Tribolium castaneum: one gene and its partner. The protein of the gene in region 1 interacts with the protein of each later gene in a pairwise test. Links are inferred from orthologs where the notes say so. Each region holds a gene or a part of one and is shown in the gene's direction. Other genes may lie near its edges.

Region 1 (4,505 bases):
AAATAATTGTGTTTCGGGCTGAAAAACATACAAAATAGTTTAATTTTAAATTAATGTTTGTGTTTATTTTATAAATGTTCTCAATACATTTTTACAACGTCCTTGTGCTTAGAAAATGTTTATTATTTGTATCAAATCCAACATTAATACGCTATGTAGATATCGAACATAAAGCGCAATAATTGCGGAAATGCATTTTTGACGAAGCGGATATCACACACAATTACTCAAAATTGCTGTACTTAGGATGTGTACAATCAGTTATTTTTTTTTTCAGTAACGCTGAAGCCATCTTGTATAGATACTAAAAAACTACTATTGTTTCGACTGTTAAATATTCGGGGAAATACTCGATTATTTAAATCAAGTTGACTTGATTTGGCATAATCAGCTTACATTAATCATATTATTTAAATATTAACAAAAAAAATGGATAATTTCGTAATAGTATTTTCAAAAATAGTAAATAGGTGAAGGTAATGTAAAAGAATTAGCAAAGTTTTCGTTGCAAAACTTGCTAAATAATAAGATTTCCACATTTTCATCTCTCAAGATAAACAGAAGAAAATCTTATTGAGTTGTTTTATTTTTGTCTAATCTTTATCGCAACTTATAGCGAAATTTAAAAAAAATCCCTACAAAGGTTATTGCTGCAGCAAATAAAAATTACAGGGGAAAACAAGTTTTTTTTTAAATTTGTATTTTACATTTGTCATCAACTGTTAACTACTGCTTTAAACTACTACTCTGTCTCTATTCAAGGAAAAAAACAGTGATTATCTGTTGTTATTATTACATTATTTCTCGTTTTTTTTTCTGAAATTATAAACGGCTAAATTCTGTGTATAAGTTGAACTAAATAAACTTGTTTTCTTGGAAAATGTGCCATTACTTTGCAAAATTTACCTATCAATGAAAAAAATCCGCACGTGTTTGATGAGCAATTTCGGTGTAAAATATTATAAAAACTGATGAATTATGAATCTAGCTTAATTAACTCAATTAATAAAATGTATCGTTTTTCAGAAACAAAATTTTGTAAGTTGTTTAAATCAAAATAATAATTGCAAAATTAGTCATATATTTTGTGATGAGAAACCAATAAATCTATCGATATAAAGTGCAAAACCTTAAAATATTATCTGTTAAACTTTTTAACCAGGTTATATCAAAGAAAATGTGGAAAACATTTTTTTTAATTTAATACGTTTCTACAATATAACTTTCTAAAATAATATTTATAAAAATATACAGAGTTTCTCTGTTATTATTAAAACATTTGTGAATCCGATTATACTCTATAAAAATATTTTGAAAAATGAAGACTGAGAGGAAGTAAAATCAAAACTTCAATAAAAACTCTTGAATGGACAAATGTCGTGCTTATATCGGCCAAAAAGTATTGAAATGAAAAAATTGCGTTCGGGGAAATACTCGATTTTCCAAAAATCAACAGATGAAAGTCACTAGATTTGGTGATATAGGTGGAGACACTTCTCGGAGGATACTGAAGGAACCTTCCCACTTATATAAAAGATAGGTAAACATCTCGTCTAACGTGTACTAATTAGAAAAAATATGATATTAGTTGTTACCATATTGCAAGATTTATTTATTAAAAAAACAGTGAAGAATTCTCATTCTCGTCCAAGAACATTCTCTTCGTAATCCGCGCCTGCGTACTAGACCCGGCAGACTCGCAACATTTGACTGTATTCAACATGGAGATTTTGATTACAAGAACATATAATTTCTAGATAAGTTCCAATTAAAGATGTGTAGTGTGTTTGGTCTTACGTGTGATTTGTAATAAATAAAATGTCTTCCAAGAGGTAAGTTTCGTAAATTGTCCAACAGTTCGCCCGCACGAGCCTTGTCAGTCTAAAAGTTAACCTATTTTTCTTATTTTTGAAGTCATCGAAAAGCTCGAATTAGCCCTCTAAGCCTTTGAATGTTTTAGTGAATTGAAGAAACTGTCTGAGGAGAGTTTGACTCGTCAGCCGGAGGAAGTTTTCGATATAATATGCAAGCTGGGGGAGGGATCTTACGGGAGTGTTTACAAAGCACTCCACAAGGAATCTGGCCAAGTATTAGCAATTAAACAAGTACCTGTGGATACCGATCTTCAAGAAATCATCAAAGAAATCTCAATCATGCAACAGTGCGACAGCCCCTACGTCGTTAAGTATTACGGGAGTTATTTCAAGAACACTGATCTGTGGATTGTCATGGAGTACTGTGGGGCCGGCTCCGTCTCCGACATCATGAGGCTGCGCAAAAAGACCCTCACGGAGGACGAGATCGCCACGATTTTGTCCGACACCCTCAAAGGCCTAGAATACCTGCATTTGCGTCGGAAAATCCACCGGGATATTAAGGCCGGTAACATTTTACTCAATTCAGAGGGCCACGCGAAGTTGGCTGATTTCGGCGTTGCCGGGCAACTGACGGACACCATGGCGAAAAGAAACACTGTGATTGGTAGAACATAATCGCGCCACAATGGCCGCGTTTTTTCACGTTTTGTTACAGGAACCCCTTTTTGGATGGCTCCCGAAGTTATACAAGAAATAGGATACGACTGTGTTGCTGATATTTGGAGTTTAGGAATTACGGCCCTTGAGATGGCCGAGGGTAAACCACCCTATGGTGATATTCACCCCATGAGAGCAATATTCATGATCCCAACCAAGCCGCCCCCTTCGTTCCGGGAGCCTGACAAGTGGTCGCCCGAATTTATCGACTTTGTTAGCGTTTGTCTTGTTAAAAATCCCGAGGAAAGGGCGAGTGCCACTGATTTACTCAGTCATGTATTTATAGGTATTAGCACATTCCCGCAGTTCAAGTCACTCTAACCTTGTTTTAGGTAATGCTAAGCTCCCTAGTATTCTAAGCCAAATGATTCAAGAAGCACACGAAATTAGAGAAAACCAAAGTTATAGGAATGTATCCTCTGCTGCTAACATTGTAGGCGTTAGGCAGAACATCACTGAAGAATCAGTAAGTTTGACAACAAAAATTGAAACTTTTAACCGATTCTTCAACAGGATGATGAAGTAGCTTTAGGCAATCAGACTATTCTTCCTTGTACAGATGAAGGCACCTTGGTACCCGGCAAAGGTGGCACTTTACTGCCAGTATCACAGAGTGGTACTTTAGTAGAGCTTGGAACCATGGTTATCAACAGTGACGTTGACGAACAAACCATGAAACGTAAGTTCAATTAATTGCACACAAAGATCTTAAATTTATCTGATAAAAAAAATTGAGCGTGTGAGCATTTTAAAAACTAAATAATGACTCAATTAAAAGTAGCTTTTGGCTCTAAATCAATCATATTTTGTAATTTCATGTAAAAAATGTCTAAATTTATCGGTATAAAAGGTAAACTGTTAAAATATGTCCTGAAAATTGCTACTTTTTACAAAGGATTGAAATAACAGCCTGACCATTTTTTTGGACCAAGTTATACCAAGATGGTGAGATAAAGGTAGCAAAGAGCGCCACCTATCGGGGTTATACCAAATAAGAAAAAAGTGTTCCTCTTATTGATTAACCGGCAATCGGAAAATTAAACTTAATTTCAAAAATAATATTTGTGGAAACATACAAGTGTTTCTCTGTAATCTTTAAACATGAAACATATTTGGTAGCATTTTGCTTTTCCTAATTCGCCCACCACAAAATAAAACTAAATTGTAAGAGCTTTAATAGTGACAGTCACCGCCAAATTTCCTACGATTTTTGGAAATAAAACTGACTTATTTAATAATTTTATAACGTAAATATGGAATTGAATAACAGAAAACATTAGCAGCTTAATTATTATCTAATAAGGTAAGGTATTAATAAAACTTGGTAAGTCTGTAACAGTGTTCTTAAGAATAGTAAATAAGTAAAGGTAAGATAAAGTAGATCTACCAAAGTTTTCACTGCATTAACGTACGAAATAATGACTTCCACCTTTTCATTTTTCAAAATAAGCAGAAGAAAATCTAATTGAGATATGTTATTTTATTTTTGTCTAATCTTTATCGTAACTTATAACAAAATAAAAAAAAGGTTATTGGTTCAGCAAATGAAGTTTACAGGATATTTTTTTCAAAAGTTTTTATTTTACATTTGCCGTCTAGAGGAAAATTGACTGTTGAATGCTGTCTCTATTCAAGGAAAAAACGGAGATTATCAGTTATTATAACATTTCTCATGTTTTTTTTTGTTTTTTAGTGAAACTGTAAACGACTAAGTGGTATTTTAATAATGCAATAACAAAACTTCAATAACACAAAATAATTAGAACTTGATTTTTTTATTTTAAATCAATCGTATTTTGTAATTTTGTGTAAAAAAATATGAGCATTTATCGGTATAAACGACAAAATGTCAAAATATTTCTTAGAAATTGCTACTTCTTCTACTTCTACTTCTACTCTACTTCTACTTCTTCTACTTCGTAAATAAACGGATCGAAATAACCAAATAACAGAGTCTGACTGTAAAAAGTG
Region 2 (2,826 bases), on another chromosome or scaffold:
ATGGAAAGTGCTACTTCAGACGAAGACAGCGACGTGAGTATACGTTTTAAAACACGTATTCAGTGTGAAATTAAAATGTTTGATCCCAGTTCCAGGAAGAGCCTAAATCTAAACGGAGGAAGACTGCAAAAGCTAACAATAAAAATAAGGGAAAAGGAACTGGAAAACGGGGCAGGCCGCCTACTAAGAAAACAACCAAAGCTGGAAAGAAAAAGAACAAAGACAGTTCCGAAGAGGACGAAGAAGAGGAGGAAGAGAGCGAGCAGAAGGAAGCAAGCAGTTCTTCTGAAGACGAACCTTTAGTGAAAAAAGCAGCAAAGAGCGCTCAACCTCCAACTGTATGTTTTAAGTCAATTGTTTACATTCTTTATGACAATTTAATTCCAGGATGATGAGATAAAAACCTACGTGAAAGAAATTTTAGAAGGCGCCAATTTGGAACAGATCACAATGAAGACGGTTTGTCAACAAGTTTATGCACATTATCCTGACTTTGATCTCGCACACAAAAAGGATTTCATAAAGTCTACTGTAAAATCTGTAAGTTTTGTTTCGCTTTTGTGACTCCTCTCATGCAATTTCATTTTTGCAGCTTATATCAACGTGAACTTGTTGAGGCGTTATAGAATTAAAGTTTGTATAAAACCAACCTTCAATGTGTATGTCCGAGTACAAAGTTTGTATTTCGTTTTATTCATATTTTACACTTTGCATTTCATCAGATAACATTTTTGGCAAACTAATTATTAAGTAAGTTAGTTTTAACGTATCCGGGATAGTCTTTGCAAATGAGTTCTGAAGGTAAGAGATGCAAGTTTTTCTCTCAGAATTTGTTTCAATTTGTTGTATAATATTCCACATGCATTAAAATATAGTATTTATGTGTTTGATAATTATGATTATCTTTGAGATCTTAAGCTAGATTTTATTATAGATGAACATTTTTTGTTGGAGAGAAGTAAATAAAATTTGTTAATTATCTATTGTTTTCATTATTTTAATAGATTTTATTTGATTATTTACGTGCGTGCGATTTTATGTTGTAAAACTAAAGCCAAAAAGTCTGTTTTGTTGGTCATTTAAAATTTTTTACAAAATTGTACGGTTGTATAAAATAGTCAAAAATAGAAATATATTTTTTGTAAAGAGCAGATTTTAAATGACCAATTTTCTTTCGTTGAGTGCAGTCTAAAGATAATTGTAAAAATCTATTTTCTTAAATGCAGTGTACTTTTATCATTTCTTCGTTATGCTTCTACAGATGGAACATGTAAATCAAATAGTGTTTTTATTTTCCCAGAACTTTAGCAAGCTTTGTTGTCTTATCAAAATGTCTATGCTAGTAGCTCTTAGTAATTAACAATAGAATCTGAATTGTATTAATTTCCAAAATACAATCTTTATTATAACTTTGCTTTTTATTACCGAAATTTTTAAATGTCCCGCAACATTAACAGTATCCCCAACTTCCCAAATCCGCGTGTTGAGAAAATTCCCTAACCTCGTTCACTTTTGAAACCGCGTGGCTGAGCACCAGGTAAATTCTGGTTCAGCGCTGGTCAACTTTTGGAAATAAGTTGATTATCTCGACCAGAAAGTTATCAAAAAATGGTAAGCGACCTTATTTCTGTAATCCTAACGGTAATATGGAAAAATAACGCCACTTTCATTTTCTGAAGGCATCTGCTATCAAAGAGGTTAACCCCGAAAAACCCGGCCAGGATGCGCCCCCAATCCACCACATCCGGATCACCCTAACATCCCGAAACGTCCGTTCGCTTGAAAAAGTCTGTTCGGACTTAATTGACGCCGCCAAGAAGCAAAAATTGCGCGTCAAGGGGCCAGTCCGCATGCCAACCAAGATCTTGCGGATCACCACCAGGAAAACGCCCTGTGGTGAAGGTTCCAAGACCTGGGACCGATTCCAGATGAGGATTCACAAGAGGGTCATCGATTTGCACTCCCCCTCTGAAATCGTCAAACAGATCACCTCAATCAACATTGAGCCCGGCGTGGAGGTTGAAGTAACCATTGCAGATGCCTAATTGTTAAAACGTTTTTTATAAGAACTAAATAAAACTGCAATGAAGCTTTGTCTTTTATTTATATTGACACCAAAAATTTTGAAAAAAAAACGATGCTATTTTGTTTACGCTTCAGAGCATCCTGCGACCAGTGACCACAAACACGGTGTCACCAATACTGTGGCGCTATTAGTCAGAATAGAAAAATGCAGCAACTGCAATAATAATAATGAGGTTGAGCATCTTATTATTTGTGGGGCGTGACGCTGGCACTCATTGCTATGTATATAAAATGACGTAATGTTTTAAATGTTTGCCCGCCATTTTGTATTCCTCCGCCGATTAAAGGCCAGGCGAAAAGTAGTACCGACCGATAATCAATCAATAAGATCACTTTTCGCACCATATGAATCATTTCATGACCCCAACGTGCAAGTTCATCTCTAAGCCAAACAGTGTTATCACAAAAGTGACACACACTGTGTAAATACAAATGTGGAACAAGGTGTCATTTGCAGGTTAGAGTAGTTTAGTCGATTCAGCATCGTTGATCGTTTGTTGTTTATGGTGTGGCCCATCCCAGTTCGCTGTGAATGTGTGTGCCGTTTCCATAAGAAAATTCTTTATAAAAAATTAATGGATAACATCTGTTGCTGATAAAGTAAGTGCCCTTCAACCCCAAAGAAGAGATTTTGCGTAAATTCGACCCGCTTTAGGCCCGACTCTGCCCAATAAGTGCCCCATTAAAAAGCTATTGTTTTGTTATGATGGAACGTCAAAATACGCACTCTTGATTCGAAAT

What was found.
Region 2: the proteins of hpo (region 1) and RpS20 interact in a two-hybrid assay, tested with the Drosophila melanogaster proteins (2 studies listed by BioGRID). The link is inferred for Tribolium castaneum from reciprocal best matches to the Drosophila melanogaster genes hpo and RpS20.

Annotation. Positions count from the first base shown.
Region 1 is NC_087403.1:7,370,044-7,374,548, reverse strand, and holds the start of hpo (serine/threonine-protein kinase 3), read left to right. Parts: upstream 1-1,672; 5' UTR 1,673-1,818; coding exon 1,819-1,832; intron 1,833-1,960; coding exon 1,961-2,481; intron 2,482-2,532; coding exon 2,533-2,820; intron 2,821-2,866; coding exon 2,867-3,000; intron 3,001-3,047; coding exon 3,048-3,213; intron 3,214-4,505. UniProt on the Drosophila melanogaster protein: Plays a key role in the Hippo/SWH (Sav/Wts/Hpo) signaling pathway, a signaling pathway that plays a pivotal role in organ size control and tumor suppression by restricting proliferation and promoting apoptosis.
Region 2 is NC_087396.1:10,995,891-10,998,716, reverse strand, and holds RpS20 (small ribosomal subunit protein uS10), read left to right. Parts: upstream 1-1,453; 5' UTR 1,454-1,608; coding exon 1,609-1,611; intron 1,612-1,679; coding exon 1,680-2,045; 3' UTR 2,046-2,089; downstream 2,090-2,826. Other genes in the region: protein DEK, read left to right, coding at 1-33, 90-338, 388-540, 593-607.